Lonchura striata: one gene and its partner. The protein of the gene in region 1 interacts with the protein of each later gene in a biochemical or structural test. Links are inferred from orthologs where the notes say so. Each region holds a gene or a part of one and is shown in the gene's direction. Other genes may lie near its edges.

Region 1 (11,267 bases):
GTCAGGAAAAAGGCCATTTTGTGGTGCTGGTCGCCACGGTATGGTTAGAGTCACCAACAGTAACAATTGCATATCTATTCCTGACCTTGGCTCTTGTTGGGTGCACTATGAAACTGGCATTGCATTGCTTCTCAAGACACTGTTCAAAAGAGTATAGGGAACCCGAAAGCATACAGGTAGTGAAAGTCACCTGCTTTCCAAACACAAGAGTTTCTCTCTTCCTCTGTCCACTGGCCATAAGAAAACAGGGCTCATCATCCCTAGTTAGACTCCTGAAGTAGACAATTTTGAGTATCTGCTAATGTTTGGGTTACAATTTGCAGTAATCCCATATCAGTCCATAGCACTTTCCAGCATTTTTATATCCAATAATTGTTTGCATTTCTCCAGAGCCTCATTCATAGCACATGAGTATGACCTGAGCTCTGCAATGCATTTGTTATGCAGCCAAGTACATGATATGGTTCAGGGGCTTGGCCAGGTCCCAGCACTTGTTTAAAATCACAGAAGTAGAATAGGTGGCTCAGTACAGCCACCAAGAATAGTTATCTGGGGGTCTTTCTCTGAAAATAGCTGAGCAACATCCCACTCTTTTGCATACATGAATCTTGACATTTTTCCTAACAACTTTAAAAAATTCCCTAAAAACAGATTTTTGAAACAAAGTAAACAGTCTTGACAGTGTAAAGAAGGAATCTAATCTTTCCTTTATACTTAGATTTTTATTCTTTGGATTTGGACCTAAGCCTTAGACATTTCTGCTGAAATCATTTAAAAAGGACTTCAAGTCCTGAGAGCCACAGTTGCTAAGTACCTAAATGGGGGTACCTTAAGAGTCCAGATTTTCATTAAGGACAGAACAATTTCCCAGTAGGGATCAGGCCTCTTACATATCCACCTGAGAGAAGAGGTATCCAAGGAGTCCCAGTCACTCCTGGAAACTCTGGCACTGCTCTCCTGATGAGGCTCTCAACCCTGACAGAGAGCTTGACTCTCTTGCCCCTTCTGTCAGAAGGATCAAACAACAAAGTTGCCAGCTTCACAGTGACATGTTGAAGCTATTTTTAAAACCCTCTACTATGTGTCAAACAGACAGTAACAAACAGCCTTTTTGAAGGCTAAAGTAGAAGCCAGTTTCCAGTATATACAAACCAAAACCCAATGGATACTTTTGGCATTGTCTGTCGCATTCTTTGGAACCTCAACAGGGAGGACAGGAAAAGTCTGCAATAAAGCCAAAGACATCCTATCTGAAAAGAACTGAACTACATTGGACAAAATACTTTAAAGCCCTGCATGGAAGAAAAAAACACTTCAAACATTATTATGATCATATTTGGACAAAGAGTAAGTTTTATATCCATATTTGCAGAGCAAGTGATGCTGTTGCTTCTCACCAAGGCACCAGCATCAAGAGCTGTACTCATAGTAGGAGCATTATTAAAACCAGCAAACCAGAGTGCAAATGTTCTACCAAGTCAAACAGCAGACACAGCAAGATAAGAAAGAAATTGTGCCCATAATTCCAGTCCACAAGAAGAACACTGCTTTAGTTTCACAAGGAAATTGCCTAGTAGCAACAATATCAGTTCTGTTTTTTCTGTAGACAGAAAACAAAACACATTGCATTTTATTAGTGGTAATAAGAGAACAGATGATAGGAAAGGAAGATCCAATAATGCTTTTTCCTCTTTAACATTTGCCTAGACCTTGAGTTCAGCCCCTGTATGTCAGGATCCATCGCTGTACGGGCCACCAATTGTCAGCATTGGTGCTTGGCAGTAACCAATGGTAGATGGTAACTGACTGCCACTGTTAGTTTATTATCTTACTGTAAGACTTTCATACCTTCTCCCTGTGAGTTCTCATGGGCAGTTCTCACAACACTGGCTCCTTTTCCTTCCACACAGCTGCCTGACCCTTTCTCATCACAGCCAAGTGACTCCAACTCTCCCTCAACCAGCTGAGCCACTCTTTTATAACACCCATCCTTACTGGACACAGCTGTGACATATTAAAGGCAAGGCTGTTCCTACTCTTTGGTAATTAGTACAGCTGCAACTCATCAGGGGCAAGATTGCCTTCAGCACTGTCTCTATTCTCTCACAATCCATTCTCCCACACCTGTAGGGCAAAAAGCCAGTGAACCACTGCTACAGCAGGAAACAGAAAGTCAAAGATGTACTTGCAGGGGCTGTGACCAACAGGTTGCCAGCTCACACCAGCTTTTCTCAAAGAGAGTAACTGATTTATTTTTGGCTTTATGTCTAGTCAGAATCACCAATTTGAGTAACCCTTGCTGAAAAATACTGAAAATTTAGGTCTCAAATTCTTGTAAAATTTAAAATGCTAAACTATGAGCACTTATGTGTGAAAGAACTTAAAACACTACTGAGGATACACCACTAGAGCTCAGCTCTTTCAATATGGTTGAAAATTCAGCTAATTAATATTGAGAGCAATTTTAAAAATCTTGAAATGAAAGAGCACAATGAAGAGAAAAGTACAACTGGTGCACTTTAATCCAAATACTAGTTTAAAGAAACTATTCCATCACAATGAGCTGAATACCAGGCATACAGGCAAAGATAAGAGAGAACTATTGAGTCTAACTGAAGTTTCTTCTGTGGAAGAGACATTTTAAGATCAAAATCTCAAGCTCTGGTACAAAACAGTAATGTAATCTCTGGTTTAAAAGTATCATAAATAATTTCTAATCCTTGTGGCTACACCAAGAGATCATCAGTTATGATGTAGGTTCAATATAAGAGTTCAAAAATCAAGAGATAAAGAAAAAGAGCCAAAAGTACATATAAACCCTAGTCAATCAAGTGAGAAATACCACTGCTGACCTTGAAATTTATCTCAGCATTTTGAGACAAGTTTATAATCTGAGTCTTATTAGTGGGTGACCTTGGACCAAAATCATACTACAGTACTAAGCATCGCCTTAAACATAATAATACTCCAGCTAACTTTTTTGGTATAAAGACTTATGAATTCACAAATTTAGTTACTGGCACACAATAACTTCAGGCTTATCCATAAGAGTGGGCTTGCTTCTGTGTCACAGGAGGACATACAGACAGATTCAGAGTTGCAGAAGAAAGAAGTAAGTAAAGGATTCCATATCTGTAACTACCTGTGTTCAGGAAACATGCAAATATTTAGGATGGCTCTTTGAAAACCCATTAAATTGGTTGGCTGAGCCTGACTGCTTGAGGGCTCTTCAAAACCTCCTGATTATTTTCACTTTCAACCTCATGGTTCACTTACAACCCCCATGGAAACATGTATTTAAGATAACTATGCATAATACTGTAGAACTTCACAGGCTTTCGCAGAGCGACAAATAAGCCCTCATTTTGCCAAGTCACATTTTTCCCCTAAGAACATCATGCTGCAGTTTCTCTTGCTATTCAGTTAGGTTGCTTAAATAATCTCAGTCCTTATAGCACTGTATCATTCATATTTAAATTATTAGTCTACAGATAACTTGAGCCTTACATCCACAGTATCTCACAGATCCAGATGAAAGCAGTGCAAGTCTCACAGCATTTGCAAAAAGTAGATGGCTGCTTTTGGCTAAATTGTTGACTCCCTGGGACACATTGGAGTGTTTGAGAGCACTTGCAGAGCAGATCATTTCAATATGGAGACAGTGGACACATGAGAACTCAATCACACAGCTGCAGACCTTGGGCTTTGGAAGAGGCTATGGATGTGGCAATGAAACAACTAGATAAGATACAGAACTCTGACTTTGTCCTTTAATGTTTGGGGACTTAAGGATGCCTGTAAGTGCTGGCTTTGGACATTCGAGCAGGTAGAAACTTTTGTCCTTCCATTTCTGTATCAATAGTATCCTCTGAGTATTCCATTCTCTACACAAAATTGCTCTATCAGCTCATTAATTATGTGCGTGTAAGAAAAACTTCCAAAGGAAAGGATGTAAGAAGGAATAGATTCCACATTTAGGTCTGAAACTGAGTATTTCACTGCAGAAGCAAGTATAGGTGCTATGCAGGCACATTAGACATCCCATTCTCTCTACCTCCAGAAAATTATTAATTAGCACATGCTAATTAAAGCCTGGGTTTATGCTCACTCTTAACTCTCACAGACATTAGAGCCATAACTGATCACCAGGCTTGCTAGGAAATCATCTTTTTGGCTCACCTTCTTACCAGGTTTTCACTTTCCTTTCCAGATGCTGCCATAGGAGTTTATGAACATGAAAAGAAACCACCTCTCCCTGCAAACAAGGCAGCTGATACCTGGGTGGAGCCACACTTTTGTACTTCACCTGCAGTGAGAGGTGACACAGGAAGCAGAGCATGGGTATAGATAGCAGGTTCCCTCTTCTCTACACAAGGTGGATCACAGCTCTTTCTACTGAATCTACTAGGTAGAACCAGAACGAGGGTGTGGGAAAACCGATACACTTCCTGAACAGCTTTGGAAAGCCCCATGCTTGACCACAGTTCCAAAGAAACACTCTGTGATCTCCACACATCCTCCTGTCTCCTACAGGCTTTGTTCCTGTGCTGTCCATGCAGTTTCTTTACTCTTCAAATTATTCCTATTTTCCTTCATCTTCTTAGATACAACTCACCATACTGAGTTAAGGCACTATGTCAATTCTCTGGCACACATCCTCCTTCACTTAGCCTTCCTCAGTCTCTCACCTCACCTCTATTCAAAAACCCTTAAACTAGACCTAGCTACTCTAAGCCAATCCCTGGGCTTACCTCCCCTCATGCAAAGATCAAATCATAGGGATGAGCTGGACTCAAACCATTCTAGCATAGGCTCAAGGCCTTTCTCAAAGTTCAGAGCTCTTGCCTATGAGTCCCTCAAAGCCAAGTATCTACTCTGCAAAATAAAATTTGTGCTGCCACGTGGGGGAGCTTGTGCTGTGGCTGATGCTCATCGCTTCCAGATCAAGAGAAAAGGACAGCTCAGCAGCCTTAAGGACTGCAGCCACTGCAAACTCTGTTCTGGAGAGGCTGTTTGAAAAACCTGACACGTGTAGATAGTACACAGACACTTTAATAAAGACGTTCCTTTTCAAAATTATCTTGGGTGACAGTAATTGACTTTGCCATAGCTTGTAAACTGTAAGTTGTAAAAATTTGCAAATTCTAGTTGCCCTTAACCTGGTAAAATAATAGAGTTTAGACTGGAAAATACCTGTAAGATCCTTGAGTTTATCCATTAACTAGCACTGTCAAATCCATCACTAAATCACGTCCCTAAGCACCATATCAACTAGATCATGATCAGAATGATAGATAAAATAAAATGAAAATTCCTATATTTTAAAGGGATAAGCAAAGCAAACAAGTAATAGGGCTCAGTTCCAGACCCCCACTGAGATGATTTATAAACACAACCACCAGACTGGAGTCAACTTTAGCCCTTGCTGAGCCATCTTCATCTGCAAAGCCGTCTTGACAGCTGAAGCAAACTCAGGTGAACCAGCAATCCAAAAGGCAAGGAATCATACTTACCAAATAGATGGACTTGAAGTCTTCTTGAAACCCCTTAAAATCACAACTGTGCCTCAGAGACAAAACCAGAGCTAAAACTCAGCTCTCGAGAAAATAAGCAGTCTGGTAGCCTGAGGAGATGAAAAATGACAGGGGCGGGTGGTTGGGTTTTTGGGTGGAGGTAGTTTTTTTTGTTTGCTTTTGGAGTTTTTTGTGTACGTGGAGTAGATTGTCTCGTTCTCTTTTCAAACCAAAGACATCGCTTGAAAGCTGTTTGTCGGTATGAAGAAGGCTGCTCACGTGGAAAGGGAAGACAGCTGGGGGCCACTCCAGCCGTGAGCTGCACCCCTGAACCACTGGGCAGGCTAGACCAAGCCCTCTCACGAAGCACGGCAGCGTCCCGGAGCCAGAACAGCGCGCTGCGGGGCGGCCGGGAGGGGCGGGCTCGGCGGCCGCGCCTCCCCCGGGCGGGGCGGGGCCGGGCGGTCCCGGGCCGGGCCGGGCGGGGCGGGGCCGGGCCGGGCGGGGCGGGGCCGGGCCGGGCGGGGCGGGGCCGGGCCGGGCGGTGCCGCTCCGTGCGAGGCGCGGGCCGGCGGGCGCAGCGGCGGCCCCGAGGCGGGAGGATGCGGGCGGCGCCCGGCGCGCAGCCGGACCGGCCCTTCAAGCTCAGGAAGAGTCTCGGTAGGGGCGCCGGGGGCGCGGAGGGCTGCGCGGGTCGCAGGGGCTGCGCGCACACGTAACGCTTCTCTTCTCTGCCCCGCAGCCACCCGGCGGGAAGAAGTAGCAGGGATCCGAGCCAAGTTCCCGACCAAAATCCCGGTAAATCTCTGGTTTGTTATCGGAGCTTGTTGCCGCTGTTTAAGGAAAGAAGCGTGTGAGGGGAGGGAAAAGGATATGGATATTTTAGGTTTTGCTAAGTGTGACTCTAATTAAAACAGGTAATTGTTGAGAGGTACCATAAAGAGAAATACCTTCCTCTCTTGGACAAAACCAAGTTTCTGGTTCCCGAGGAGCTGACCATGGCACAGTTCATAACCATCATCAGGTGGGTAGTGCATACTACTTGTTTGGATTTGCACCTGGACTTGGCTGCTGTTCCCAGGGAAGGTATTTCCTAGTGTGCTGCTGGGGACATCTTGCTTCCTTTGGTGGGTGGGAGGATAACACTAAAGGTGTTAGTAGTGTAATGGCTTCCTTCTCTTGCAAGTGTTTGAAGATAATAAACAGATGTTTTCATAGGTGCATTTGTGTGAAAAATGTGGTCTTTTTTGGGTTCATAGTCCCCTCCCTTCTCTGTAATTGTAGTGAAAAAAGACTATGTAAGACTCTTGTTCTGCTCTTTTCCTGCCTCATGGACTTGATACTGGGGCTCTGTGATCTTGTTCTGCTTATGACTCCCACTGCCTTGCTCTCTTAGTGCACCTAGCTGAATTAGCTTAAGTTCAAAGCAGCTCTTGAATGTGAGCAAAATGAAATGTTCTAAATTATTCTTTGTGAAACAAAGTCGCCCAAAATACTCAGTGGTATTTTCTGACAAAATGTGAAAGCTATGTTTTTCAGCATACTTTTTGAAGTATAGAAAAAGATCTTTCTAGATTGTAACTTCTGTAAAAGATGCTTTTGGCTCTTGGTCAACTTAGATTGTAATCCTTGCATGTAATGTCTCTGAAAAAGACTTGTTTTTTGAAGGTAGACTTTATAGTAAATGTAACAGACTGGAGCTGGACTCCTTTACAAAATCTGCACTATGGAAGCTTTTGGTTTCTTCTTTGGTTACTCACACTTTTTCCTGGTAACTGGGATCTCCAAGCTCATGCTCGGTAGCACCTTTGGTGTAGCCATGTAAGCCTTTCCTCAGAGCACAGGCCTTTGAGCTTCCAGTTAAGTTCCTGCTGATGGAAGAATGTAACAATAACTTTACACAGCATTTCTTGTACCTACTTCATGCAACTGCTCTGCTTAATGCATGTCATAGACTGAAGTTGAAATCATATTCAGCTTGCTAATGTTTAATCCTCTTTTTCTCCTCTCTTTTTCAATTAGAAGTAGGATGGCTCTTACAGCTACACAAGCTTTCTACCTGCTGGTGAACAACAAAAGCCTAGCCAGTATGTCCTTGACAATGGCAGAAGTGTACAGGGACTACAAAGATGAAGATGGCTTTGTGTATATGACCTATGCTTCCCAGGAGATGTTTGGATGCTTATTACCCACTGCCCAAGGGAAAACCATGGAATGCTTTCAGAAAATCTAAGATTGGGTTCATATGCTGCAGCAAAGCAGTTTGCTCTGAATCATGCCTGTGACATGAACCTCGGAGATACTCCTTCCAGTGTGAGCTCTTGAGCTCTGTAGTGGGAGTTATGATCCAAAAGCTGGCAGGACCAGCTTAAGACAGAAATGGTGGTACACTTTCCTTAGGTAATAATTTGGATATATATTTTTATATTTGAAGACACTATGGGTTAGGTTTTTTTCTTTTGAACTGCACCTCCACTGCTTTGCAATATCAGTCTTTGTTGTCAAACTGATTTTTAAGGTTTCCTGAAAGCCTAAGAGAAAAATAAAGAACCTTTTAAGTATTGAGTTGAATATTATTTTTAATCTGGGGAAAGACTCTAAAAATTTGTCTAGGAGAAGCTCCTATAATAATTTTGGGAATCAATGCTTTTTAAATGAAACACTGCTTGCACAGCTACTCTGAACTTTTGAACAAAGTATCAGTTTTAAGTTGTGTCACCCATGAGCAAAGCCATAGCATGAAAAGTTCATTAAGATAGGTATCTGGGCTGTGAGATTAAGTAGTAGTGCCAGAGCAGTGTAGAGTTTAACACCCAAATAAACTGTCAGCTGTTACAGAAAACACTCTCTGTGGTATAGATAACTATTTAAATAAGCAACCTGATTGCTAATTAGCATAACTGAAATGCAGATAGCAGGATTTGAATGGTAATAAAGTTTCAAGAGTTATTTTCTTGCTACTGAATTTTGCTAGCATGGTTACTCTAGATACTGTCATATCCATTCCCCTACAGGCATATCCTGAAGGACTTTGGTGAGCCTTCTCTCAAAAACAGAGACAAATCATGTACTTTGTGATTAAGAGATATTCCAGTGTTTCTGGAAAATGTTGAAAATATAAAAAAAAACATGTAGTAAAATGTTGATTCATCTTAATGTACAGGCTTGGTTCCTATAAACATGTATTAAAGGAACACTTGACATGAGCCTTATTCTGAAGTATAGCTCAAGCTGCCTTCCTTGTATGTGAGGAATGTATTAGAAAGCTGGAAATGCTCTGATCATGCATGATCAACTAAAAACACCAAGTAATTTAAATATCTGTCACAGTTTGCAGTTTGTTAATCAACCTCTGGCAGACTCAGTTTAGGGTTGGTCAAATTGTTACAATATGATGCAATTCTTCTGTTCAGCACTAAACTGCAGAATTATTAATGTAGGAATAACTAGACTGCAAAGAAAGAAGTGTTGACAGTATTTAAGTTATGCTTAAGGAAGGAATGTGTGTGTAAGCTTTTTGCAGTGGTTCTCTTGCATTAATAATCTCTTGAATATGAAGTTCTGAGCAGATCTGGGTTTGAGCCTCTAAACCAGGGGTTTTAGAGGAGTACCTGCTGTAGTGGAGGTGATGTTTGCCAACTCGTGTTTCATGAGCTGAGGAACAAAGAAATCATTGAACTGACCTGTGGAAAGGATAAGGCTGTGTTGGTATAGGTTATAAAAACATGCGAGCTTTGGGATGCCAGAATCAGTCCCTTGGATATATTTCACTTACCCTTGTAATGGAAACAGTTTCCACTGCAGAAATTGAAGTCCAATAGTCATTTGTCACCAGCCCTTCAGGGAAGCAGAGACACCTGCTTGGCAGGAGCACCATAAAGAAATGCTGAACAGCTGTGGGAACCTTGGGGTGGGAGGAGCAAGGGGAGACTTCCTGTGTTGAAGCTCTCTTGCCAGCCAGAGTTGGGCTAATATTTTGCTTCAATGGCTCCTCTGTCTTCCTGTCTTGTCTAATACTTGGTATATGAAGAGAGAAGCACTACAGTTTCTTGGCTGGAACAATTTTGTCTGACAGCCAACTTTCTTTGGTTTGTAATGCAGTGGCTGAGGTGTAAGTGTTGATCCCTCCAGCATTTATTAACATTAGGGTATGGTGTCTACAGGCGGAGTCACAGATCTAGCCCAAAAAGTTGCACAAGAAGAATGTCACTTGCAGGTAAAGAGCATCATTATAAACTTGTTTAAACTGGCCTGATGAACCTAGAAATAAGTCCTGTGAACTGGGAAAGGATCATTGGGTAATAGTAATAGACCTGCTTTTCTATCAGATGTTGAAGTTAGGATATTAACTATCAAAGACAGTTTTCACAAAATCTTAAAATAATAAACTAGGAGTTACATGCCCAAATAAATATGTTGTCTTGCTTGTGGAATTGCCTTGGTATGATTAGAAGATTTGAATTTAGCTTATTCTCTCTTGAAGTGCAAAAAACAAGGATTAGAAAAGAAGCAAACAGAAAAACTGCTCAGACTGACATATGCAACTGAGATAGCTGCAGCTACTTCCAATGTAGCTGTTGTTTGAAGAGCTAATATTTACTCAAGCAAATAATTACTGATTAGAAAGAGGTATATTTTTTCCAATGGAGGACACAATGTTGTGTTAAGCAGATTTTATACTTCTTTTCAATGTGCCACTAATGTAAAAAGAGATGGCAGAGGTGCCATTTGTTTTTAAAAGTTTTATCTTCATGATATGGAGTTGTATTCATTAATATCAAAGATATCCACCAGAGAACAGAAAACATTCTGAGGATACTTCTGTTTCTTCCATAGCCTACCAGCTCAATGCCAGAAGATGCTCAGTGCTCTGGCTTCAAATATAAACCAAATCAATCTGAAGGATATGGAATATTAGAGTGATATGAGGGCCTTTCTGGAACAGTGATCCTTAAGGGAAGTATGTCCTACAGCCATCTACAACCTGTGCACAATGCTTTATGGAGTGCAAATTGAACATTTGTTGCTGCAAGGCAAACATGATAACCTCAGCTTGGGCTTTAGCACACATAAGCAACATCAGGAGCTTTCCAAACTGGATTTTAAAATTACTTAATGTTGTGTTTATATTGGTAGAATAAATAAATGAATGGGAATGCTAATCTTCTTGTTCAAGGCAGTAACACTTGTGAACTTAGATGGGCTTTTTATTGTTTTCCCATGCTAACTATTTCCAGATGGTGGTTGTTTCAGGATAAAAATATTTCAATATTTAACACACAATAAGTGACAGATGGTGTCCCCTGCTGCAAATAAGTTGCTTTGTTTAGGTAAGATACAGTAATTAAGAAGGTAAAATGAGATAATAGGACAGAATATTTTATCTTCAGCATCAAATTACCCTGCTATATTCTTCTTTCAAGAAAGCCTGTAGAGAAATTATAGGGAGAAAATAGAACCTAAACAGGAGAGAAACTTTTTTTTGAAAGCCAGCGTTTTAACTTACGCACTATGAAGTGGAAGTGGGAAGAGTGGAAGGGTTTCTATGGAAAACCTCCAAGGGATCCCTGAAGGTGACTGAGAAATGTGATTCCCTATGTTACAGTTCCAATATGCAAAACTAGTAATGGCATACATACTTCCCTCAAGAACAACTGTTCCAGAAATATTTTGAGACAAATCTCCTGAATCTTAAAATAGCCCCTTTTTGTCATAGTTTTGAATCAACCCATAAGAGACAGAGAATAAAAAACC
Region 2 (11,303 bases), on another chromosome or scaffold:
TTTAAGTGTCACTGTACATGTTGTACAAATAACTTATTTGGACTTGAATTATTATGGCATGCTTTGGTTGGGAAGGTTGGAAAAAAGTAAGAAACTGAAATGTGGTTTCTGGATTGTAAAGCATTTAGATGAGTGATTCTTCTTCATAAAAACAATTGCTTTTTAATATTTATGAAGCAAGCTGGAGATGCACTTCAGAAATAAATAGGAAGGGTTTTACTAAAAACCCCAAAACTCTGTAACTGAATAAACTGTAAGTACTTAATGGCATTGTTTTTGCAGTGCTCAATATTCACAATCTGTTTTCAGGTTGTTGAGTTCTCCTTATTTTTTATTCTGTCATTTGGCATCACACATATTGAAACTTCTCTTCCAGCACTTAGGTGAAAGGCCCACAAAGGCAAGGAAACTTCCCTCCTTTGAATCTGAAAGAATGGGTCTTGTTAGCCTCTTGAAATCTTTATGCCCAAAAATTGTAAAAAAAAAAAAAATCCTTATCTTCTCTAAATATTTTGACCATGTATTATTAAAATTCTCATCTCAGAAGCTTAAGGAAGATAGGAGAAAATCCAGCCACCATGGTGGTGGAAGCCTTGGCCATAAGGCTGTGTGTACTCACACAGCTGAAGCTGCTTTCATGAAGTACTTGATTCATCAAGTAATGATGATTCAATCTTTCTTTTGTTATTGATACTAGTTTCCACCCTGGCTGCAGGCATGAAGGCTTGCTAGTTAAATGTTACTTATTTATTCTCCAGGGTGTGAGCACACCTCTTTGCACACTGGAGAGCAGATGGTTGCTCTCAGAAAGAGAAGGAATATTTTTGTGCAGAAGAAAATCCAGAGTAACCCTCAGTATTACCACAACAGTAATTGTTTCACAATCCATAATGATTTTATTAATGCCAATCTAGATCCCATGAGCACAATCAATGCAGCTGTAGTACAGGCTAGAATATCTTCTGTGGTCAACTGTAAATAGCAACTCTGTATCCATGGTTTATTTTTACCATAGTGTGCTATAATAGGAAAAATAGCAAATGGTAATTCTATATATAGCCTGTTACCAAGACTGTGAACAAAATGGTTAGTCAACAGTAAAAGCCTATCCTAATCAACAAATGGTTTTAGGTCCAGTAATAATATTTTGAATATCAAAATAATGTATACTAGGTAGTGAAAGGAATTGCAGCAGTGCAGCTAATATTTTATAGGCCTTTTATGACTCTTTTTAATGTTAAGTAGGAATTTTGTGAATCATGTTGATTTTAACAGACTGGAAATGGATAGCAGACTCTATATTGCTGTACTTATATATTGCCTGACTTTTTATCTTCTGCCTCTTTCTTTTGTTGGACCAGCAAAAATTCATTTTCCTTTTAGTGACATTAATTAACCATTAAATGGTGAATAGATCAGGAAAGGAGAGCCCCCTGTCTCTATGCCTTGTTCTTTATTCCTAAACTTACTTAAAAACCCACTATAGAAAAATATAAATTTTATTCCAGGCTTGAAAATATTATGTTCTTTTATATTTTATGTATAACTATTTTATGACTGACAAGGTTAGAAAAGTATATAACAAATTCTTAGATAAGTCTTCAAGGTTACTTCACATTAGACATGATAGGTAGGAAGAAAATACAGGCAGAAGTCAAGTTTCCTTATCTTCTGTATAAACAAGCTGGTATTTCATTCAAGGCCTTTTCCTTAACTTTCGGCATACCAGATCAGTATCAGGCAGTCACAGGGAGAGATATGCAAACATGCTGTTGTTGACTATTTATCTACTGAATTTATGAATTGGATTCCAAGGAAAGCAGGCTCCTGAATTCATTCCATCTTTGTGCTTGCCTGACATCCCCTACCTTTCTCCCCTTCACAATAATTTGTGACTTACCTTACTAGTCTTAAACATGTTTCATGGAAAGTTGGAGGTCTGTAATTATAGTAAATTCCTATTTTTACAAAACTCAAGGGTAGAGGAGGGAATGCCCTGCTTGTGGGGCAGTCTACTCCAGGGCAAAGGAAAAATAAGGGAAACTCTGTCCTTACCTGGGTTTGGGCCCATGCTGTGCACTGGCCTCCAGCATTCTCCTGTGAGCCAAACACCTTTTCCTGTGAGTGAATCTGCAGATGTGATGGAGACACAGCATCCTTAGGACTCTGTGGGCCAATGCCAGAGTGGGCCAAGGCATGGTGAGACACCAGTGATGTGGAGGGTTTTAGGGAGGATCAAGCTGGGAGCGTGCTTGGGGGTCTATATGGCTTTTGTTGGTTTTGGTGTGCCAAGCAGGTGAATGGAGCTACTGTGGGATGATAATTCCACATCAAGGGAAAGAGCATTGAAGACCCGGTCTGTGTGAAAGAAATGGGAGCTACCATGGTGAAAGGGTAGAAAGCAAGGAAAAAGAGCTGGCCTGTGAAAAGCAGCACAGACATGATGAAGGACTAGGGGCATTTTCTTTGGGGAGTGTTCATGACAAGTATCTCTTGGAAAACACACACTATTTATTAATTCTGCTGTTTTACAGTAGCATCATGTATTCATTACAATGTACTTTGTTTAAATGAGCCTGATCTAATACCTTCTGAAGTAAATGCTGCTTTTATTTGCTATCAAAGGGATGAGATAAAGTCCCTGCTATAACATAGGTAATTTATTTGCATGATGTTTATGAATGACTTTGAAGTACATATTTGTAATTTAAATCCCAACATTAGTAATACCTGTTGAAAATGCAGACATGAGCTTCTCAAGTAATTTTTATTCTTCTTAGTTTTATTACAAACTATATACACTGAGACAGGACTGATATCTTAGGACTTTTTAGTTCATATTTTTAGGGGCTTAAGAACTTCCTTTGTGTATGTTTCTACAGCACCTAATAGTTGTCCATACATCATGATTTCTGATTTCATTGTAGTATAAGTAATTATAATATATATTATTTTATCTGTTTACAAAACTGTATTATAAAATAATTATAGTACTCAAAAATTAAGTATGGTCTTCATCCATTCTTTGGCCTAAGGAATTGTATTTGATGTTGATGCCAATTCTGAAGAGAAGGGCGACCTAATTCAGGCAGGTAAATTTGTAAAATGGATAAAATACTTCAGAAGAAAAGAGTAGTTCAGTTAGTTTCCTCCTACATTTTTAGGATTGGGCTACATTAAGCCTTTTCTTACTCAGCTGGCTTCTTAGTGTTAGTCCTGCTGTTGGAAGAAATCATGGGAATACTCATGTAGAGTGTCTGCAACTTCCTCATCTCCATCTTGTCTAGACACCAGCAATCTCATAGTATATTCATGCCTCCAGAACATCTAGACTTCTCTTAACTGGGAACTCTGAATGAGGTAGGAGAACAGAGGGAATCTGTTTTCCCTTTCAAAGTTCCTTCTTTGCCAGTGGCTAAGTACAGTATTGTAATGAATACCAAATCAGTGTTATATTTCACAGTATGGTTCTCAAATTCATGTCACAGGGGAAAGGTGAGATAGTGCTATTTATTCCAATGTCACTGACTAAAAATACTACTAGAAATTATAAGAGATTAATAAAGTGATATTGAAAAATACTGTGGTAAATATGTTATCCTACTGATGTTTTATTTTCAGTTTAAATGTACTTAGAAAGCTTTCTGGCAATTGTACAAGATACAACTTAAATTTCTGTGAGAGAGGCATGGAATTAGTCCATACTTTTTTTGGCACTGTCTGCCCCATTATGTAATAAAGCCAGGCTATCTAACTTCTCCTCTTTCAGACATCTTGAGTTTTTGACACCCTTTTCTTTCTTCAGTGGCATAGATGGAGGATAGTCTTTCTCCATCTTCCTCAGTTACTGAGGACTCAGGGTATTTTTTTGAAGTGGGGATGGTGGTATTAAATAATTTCAAATGAAATGAGAAAATTTCTAAATGTGCTAGTTTTTTGCTTGGAAAAAAATTTTTTGTTCTTGTCAATTGTTGTTTAAGGGAGAGGTAAAAGTGGTGGATTAGACTGTTTAGCCTAAGTTTTTCCAGAAAATGAAATATATGTGTGAATGGGGAGAGGGAGCACTTCTTGGCTCTGTTTCTTTGTATTGCTGTTGCAACTATAATATAGTACCTGTATTTTATTTCTAAGAATCCTTTTCCATGCTTTAATGTGTAAGTCTGTGGCACCTTTGGCTTGAGATGTGGCAGCAAAACTCGCCTCCTCTGAAATAACCTGGAAAAAATACTGTCTTAAATATTTGTGTTAAAGGATGTGGAGACAACCTCTGCATTCCAGAAGTATTAAAGCCAAAGAGGGATTCATTAGGTGAAATTGGTGAATTGTAAATAATAATTGGTCAGTGGCTATAGCCAAATATCCTGTAGAACAAAGCTGGACACTGGCCACGTGGCATTTGCTATCTGCCTGACCTCACTGGAAAATGAGACATGTGGAATTCCTCCTCACCACTTTCTGAGGCACTTATACCATACTCCATCTCAGGCATCTGCTGGCTCCTTTTCTTAAGTGGTTTTTTTTTTTTTTTTTTTTTTTTTTTTTTTTTTTTGGCATATCCTACAAACTGCTGTTTATGCTATGGACACATCTGGCAGTTCTGCTGGTGAGACACTGTGGCTTGTGGGATGATGCTTGGAAGAGCTGTGCATTAATCTGTTGTGCAAAAGAAGATGTTCTATTGCAGTTTTTCCATGACTCAGAAAAACAAAGAAACCTAAAAGGTCATATGGTGGTGTGTGATTTGTTTTGTGGGTTCATTCAATATTGCCATTGTGCATTTGGCCCAACTACAATGAGTCAACAGGGTTGGACTGACTCAAAGTAGAGAACTTGCACAACAGTAGGACTTCATTCTAAATTCCCTTGCTAGTTCACATCAAAGAGATGAAATTACGTATGGAGTGCAGATATTTTTATGAAGTGGGAGTGTAATACCTGCACATCTAAAATCAGTTTGAAGTGAAACGTGGGCATCTCAGTGTTTTTATGCAACTTGCCTAGGTGTTTTACTACCTTGAACTTCCATTAGTTAGGCAAATAAACCTACTGTCAGGAAAGTATATAGAATTTGGCTTGAGCAAGTCAGCTTTGCTTGTATTGACTTGGTTACATCTACTTGGATCCATCTGATTCAAGCACGTAAGTCGAAGTTGTAAGGTGGTGAAATTGCAGCTGTCACATGGTGCTCTGGAGCCTGAAACCTGCTGCTTGAGTAATTAATTACGTGACAGCTTCCCTGCTTCGCAGGCTACCCTGTGTGCTTTGGCACCACAGAGCCAAGGGCCAAGCGCCGGCCCTTTTCCCCTCAGGAGCTTGCCCGTGCCACCCGGGGTGGCAGCGGGGAGCGGCTCGGCCGCCGCGCCGGACCCGGGGCTTCCCCTCAGCGCTGCTCCGGCCGCCCGCCCAGGCGGGGGCTGCCCGCGGCGCCGCCGCCTCGCCCGGCGCACGCAGGCGGTGGAACGCCCGGCCGCCCGGCAGCGCTGCCCGAGGCCACGGGGCGGCCGCGGGGGAAGGGCCGCCCTTGGGCGGCGGAGCTGCCTGGGGCTGCCCTGCCCGGCGGCGCAGCGCAGAGCCGGGGACGGAGCGCGGGAGCGGAACGGCGCCGCGGGGGTGCCGGTTCGCACAGCCCGGCTCGCGGGGACGCCCCGCGGGCGGACTACACCTCCCGGCGTGCCCCGCGGGCCGTAGCCGCGCGGGGCATGCCGGGAGCTCGGCAGCGCCGCGGCGTCCATGATCTTCCCCTCCCGCCGGCGCGGCAGCGCCCGCTTGCCTCGCGGGGGGCGGGGCTTTCTCGCAGCCGCCGCTCTGAGCGACGTCCACGCCACCCTATCAGCGCCGGTGTGGCGCGGCTGTAGCCAATGAGCGGCGCGGGGGGGCGGCTCCCCGCCGCGGCCGGAGGTAGCGGTAGTGGCGGCAGCCGGAGCGCGGCCGTGGGAGGTTGAGGGCTCTGTGGCGGGGTTGTGAGATCGCTCCGGAGCTCTGCGGGGCCGCTCCGGCCCGGGCGCTCGGTCTTCGGCCCTGCGGGGCCGCGGCGGGGACGGCATGGAGCAGGCAGCGCCCAAGAGGTAAGGACCCTCCCCGGCGGCCCCTTCCCCGGCCAGGAGCGGTGGCACGGCCGGGGTGAGGCCTCGGGCCCGGGGTCTGTGAGGGGGCAGTGGGACAGGCACGGCACCGAGCCCTGCGCCCTGCCCGGCGGCCGGAGGGCTCTCTCGCGTGGGGAGGGCTCTTCTGTACGGTGGATCCTCCGAAATACAGCCTCCAGTGGAAATACAGCCCCGGCGGAGACGAGCCCCTGGGGGCTGCTGGAGTTAACAACATTTTTAACGTGAAGTGAGGGAAGCTTGGTCGCCGAGCAGAGTCCTCTCTGCCCTGAGGGTCTCTCACTCGATGGTTCAGGTCTGTGGCAGGAGCACACATGAGTAGTTCTCTTTTCACGCTGGAAAGTGTCCTTGTGCTCTGCTGCTGGAGGGATGGATGCTTGTGGGGGTGGGCGTTGCATAGTTGCAATTGCAAATCGGGGAGTGGGAAGAGGTAAAAGCCAGGAATATTCCCACAGTAGATGTATTTTCTCAAATATATAGACTGGCAGGTCATATTAATTACTGTGCACGTTTTTAAAAATAATGTATCACTTGACTTCTTAGTGCATAAAATAACTTTGTGTTAAATTTTAGTCATATATTTCAGTTGGAAGAAGATATAGTTGTACAATACACAGACCATAGTTGTGTGGTGTACAGAATGTAGTTACATGGTTTACGTATATATATACACTGCCTTTGAGCTCTGATTTTACTTTTGCTTCCTGATAATAAAAAATCTAGGGACTACGCAATATAAATTTGTGATAAAGGATATTAGATACGTTTTTGCATTAATCTTTAAAACCTATATGTTCCCCATTTAGAAAAAACATCTTTAAAAACAACTTCCTGTAGGGTGATAAGACTTGAGAAGAATGTAGTCTTAAACATCTGATGACTTCTCCAATAACTCATAAAGTGACAGTACCTACTGTGGAAAATTTTGAAAAAGAATTGGTTTGTAGTTGCTATCTAGGGTGGTTTTAGCAGGCAGTGGGGTAAGAAGGGACAGACCTATGCTGTACTTTCAGGCTGACAGTTCTGCATATCTCAAATGAAGGAAGTAGGACAAGCACCAGCACAAATTTAGGAAAAGAAATGGAAAAGTCTGGGGAGTAATCAATGTTGCTAGTAGCAGTGGAAACGTTGGGAACTGGTGGTGTAACAGGACTGAAAATCAAACTCAGAAGTTAGCATAACCTCCCAAATGTTTTGGGGAAGATGTGGCATTTGCTGTAACTTTATTACCTAGCTGGAGGTGTGTGTCTGGCCTAACTGAAACAAAGAGATATTTAGGTCTTTGGATTTGGTCAGAAATAACTAGATGTGGGAATATCTAAACTCTGGCATGTTTTTATATTCCACATGGGTTTTGAAGCTTATTTCTGGAAATTTGTGATTTGTTTCTTTAGTGGGAGGGAAAATTTGAACTCAGCAAGATATTAACTGAGGTTATTTCTTAAGATTTCAAGCAAATTTTTCATGGCTGTGCATAATATTTCCTTTATTGGTAGTTTTGTACAGTTTCCCAGTTGTTGGTATTCTCAACTATTCTAGGCCACCCCCTTTTTCTGCAAGTGCAGAAGAAATGCAGATTATTTTTTGTGGGCTAAGTTTTTGGTGCTGTCCTTGGATGCAGTAGTGGCATGAAATGGACTGTGTTTACTTGGCAAAACAGATGTGAACACTAGAATTCTTTACTTTGGTGCCTGTTCACAGGAGCAGTTACTGAGAGGGATCTATTGTCATCATATCTGTGATGCATTTCCATTTACAGTTAGTAGGAATTTCATATGTACAATAAAAAGCTGCATGGATGTCCTAGAATCCCAGTGTTACCTCATAGGTATAGGGCAGTTTTATCTGCACTTCCTTGTAGTGAAGCACACAAGGCAATTGCCTGTTGTATAAATCTGTAATACAGCCCTTCAGAAAGCAGCAGTGGTGATGCCCAAGTGACATTCTAAGCCATTGTGACTTTTCAATGGAGGTGCTATCAAAATAATTCACTTTTTTCATTTGACTAATGCACTGCAGCACTAACACCAGACTTTAAAGGGAGACTCCTTTTCAGAATATTTTAAATTTTAGAAATAATTTAGAGTAGATTTTCTGATTTTATGCTGAACAATTAGTGCAGTAGTTGACACAGTGTTTTCTTGCATCTTGAATCTTTAATTGTACTTTAGATGTGCTTTATAGATTTTTCTCTCACTAGGAAGGAGATTTACTCTTGAAATAGTTACAAAATTTGCCTCTTAGTGGTGTGATTTTCCTTGGTTGTTATTGCTTTGTTTTTCTGTATCCCTGGCAAGCTCGCATGTGAGGATACAGGTTGCATACAAGGGAAAACCAAAGTAGTTATTGACAGAATTTTCTCAAGTACATAGGTTTTAATCTTGCCTATCTCCTGCATGTTGCTGTCAAATAAAAGTCTGCTTAACAAGCATGGGAAGTGTTAATGAAGATTTTCCAGTCCTTTCTTTAAACTTGAGTTTAATGTTCACTGAAAAACACAACATTTCAGGCTTTGTGGAAAAAGGAAGCTTTTCCTTTTCATGTTCTAATAAAAACTTGTTATTAGAATACAAATTGTTTGTGAAAAAGTGTGTTTTTGTTTTTTAAAGTGTGTGTCAGTGGACATGTTGGCAATTGTCAAGTTCCTCCTGAAAATGATGAAACAAAAATGTTTGGGCTTTGCTGGCAGGATGCTCAATGGAAGTACACAGCACAGTGGTGTAAACTGTCTTAATCTTGCTTCTACTTGTGTGAGTGCTGTGAAGCAGAACAAATGTCCCAAGGCTTCCACCTGCCACTTCTACTTCAGATGACTGCAGTGATTGCTCCTACTACCTTCTCTTTTAATATATCAGTATAATTGATCCCAGCCATTCTTTTTAAATGTTTCAATGTGCTAGTTCTTCTGCACAATAAACTGTATATATTCATGTTTCTTGGAGCGGCTGTCCAGTTTTTTGTAACTCATGACAGTCATTGATGGCTTTCTATTCTTTATTCCAGCTTTAGTTTGATTTTTGAACTTTCAAGGATTTTTTATCCCTACCGCTGTAGCACATCACCAATTTATTTTGTGAAATCTATATATAAAGACTGTAGGGTACTATTGTCATGTTTTTTTTTTCCTTTCATTTTTTAGGGAGGAAATCTCTTGCTCTTTCGTGTTGCAGTTCAAATTTTTCTGATCTTTATGCTGTTATTGAGTGCCTACTAGGTTTTCCTTTTCTAGAGTTTTTCTGATGTACTCAATGGCATCTAAGATTCTGGTCAGACTAGGAATTAATGTTTTCTCGTATGAACTGGATTTATAAAAGTATAATTATTTGCTAGGATGTGTTTTCCTTGTTAAGAGACAAGGTGTTATGTGAAAGTTAAACCTTGGAACAAGAAAATAGTTTTCACAGGCCTTTCCCAGAAGTGTAATTTAGTTAATCCTTCTGGTTTAAGGACCAGCTTCCCTTCTAGAAGACCTCTAAAATAGCTCATAATCACTACCCGATAACTTAGATTCTAGAGAAAAAAGTAACTCAGAACAACTTTGTCCAGGTTTTATACTGAACTTCTCTGCATCTCCTTTGGACTTTCTCATATATGGAGATATATATACATACATACACAGACGTATGGGACTTGCATGCTTTGGCCAGAGTAAAGCAGTGCCTGGATGTGCTGATTTATTTGTTCTGTTTTAAATGCTTGTGTTATGAAGGTAGGGAATCAGTGAGGGAGAGAGTGAGACACATTCTGTCTTTCTCTCCTATTGCTCTTGTGCCATTTATCTCTTCATTTTTGCCTCCTGCCCCCTCTTCACTTTGCCCCCTTCCCTCTGCCAGTAAAAGCTGATGCTGAACTCTTAGATGTGTTTCTCTGCCCTAAGATTGTTGCTTTTAAGCAACAAGGTACTATTTCTAGTCTCTTCTTGTATTCTGCTTGGTGCTTTGCAGCCAGTTACACCAGTCGCCACCTTCTTCCTTGTTTCTCCTGGAGTTTATAGCAATGCTGTCTTCACTGCAGCCCTTCAGGGTATATCACCTGATGTTCTGCAGTTCAAGAGCTGAATATTTAAACATCCAGAAACAGAAATCATTAGAATGTCTGAGTCATTAGGATTTTTTGTTGATTCAAAGACCTGTGGTGTTGATACTATCACTTGAACATCTTACCCAGCATCTGTACTGTTACAGTGCTTGTGACGAGCGGGGGAGGTGCTTTGAGCACAGTATTTGGTGATGACATTCCTGAGGCCATGTACCTTTCTCACTGGAAATAGGTTTTGTATTAAGCTACCTTAATGTTAAGTGTGATTTGGTCTTGTAACATGTTTGTCCGACTTGAATAATATGAACATAATTTGAATTTTTTTTTCTGTTTTTCTCCATGTTGATAAGTTGCTTTCCCTTTGCTGTGAAGAGTTTTATTTTCCCTAAAGACACAGACTTTCCAGCTTCTTGGCTGTTTGCTGTAGCAAACTGCATGGTCTTTATTGTAGTTAATGCACCTTTCCTTACTGATTGTGGATGCTTTTTGTATTAATGTAATTGCTACATCTGTGAAATTGTTTTTTGGTGTATAATGTGTGCACCCTTGTGCCTTCTCCTTGCCTTGTGTCCCTTGTTTAACACCAATCCATATGACTTGTGTGCTTTTACAGTTACTTTAAATTCTTTGCTTTTACTTAGATGGTTGGCAATTATAAATCTATTTTGACTCATGAGTTCCCTCACTGGTCAGTGTGGTGGTTTCAGTTCAAAACTGGGCAGAAACACTAATTTCGTGCAGAGGTTTTGGTTTGCTAATTTAAGTTTTTTTTTAATTTTGAGATTTTTTTTGGCTAATGCACTACAGAATACGGGGGGTTTGGTGCTGGCTAATCACTAATACACTCACTTTCTGCTGTGAGATAGGATTAGGAGAAAGGCAAAGAAGGCTTAAAACTTTAAAAGGGTACAAAAGAGAATTTTATTAAAGGTAATTAGAAGGACAAAAAAGGTAGTAAGGTTGTCATCTTTAACATGTGTGTTTCACAAAAGTGTTTAGTTTTCCAGTAGTTTAAAAGATTGTTAGTTACATAAAAAACTTTACATCACTTCTCTTAATTCACTCTCATTCTAAACTATAACACTCAGTCACTTTAGTTTTTATTGATTTTGTGTATCACAGAATTGCATCTCCTAATATGAAGGTTTTTTTTTCTTCAGATCG

What was found.
Region 2: the proteins of MAP1LC3C (region 1) and STK3 form a complex in vitro, tested with the Homo sapiens proteins (2 studies listed by BioGRID and IntAct). The link is inferred for Lonchura striata from reciprocal best matches to the Homo sapiens genes MAP1LC3C and STK3.

Annotation. Positions count from the first base shown.
Region 1 is NC_134605.1:47,767,198-47,778,464, reverse strand, and holds MAP1LC3C (microtubule-associated protein 1 light chain 3 gamma), read left to right. Parts: upstream 1-6,115; coding exon 6,116-6,173; intron 6,174-6,255; coding exon 6,256-6,311; intron 6,312-6,430; coding exon 6,431-6,537; intron 6,538-7,535; coding exon 7,536-7,746; 3' UTR 7,747-8,072; downstream 8,073-11,267.
Region 2 is NC_134603.1:22,422,332-22,433,634, forward strand, and holds the start of STK3 (serine/threonine-protein kinase 3), read left to right. Parts: upstream 1-5,889; 5' UTR 5,890-6,042; coding exon 6,043-6,065; intron 6,066-11,303. UniProt on the Homo sapiens protein: Stress-activated, pro-apoptotic kinase which, following caspase-cleavage, enters the nucleus and induces chromatin condensation followed by internucleosomal DNA fragmentation.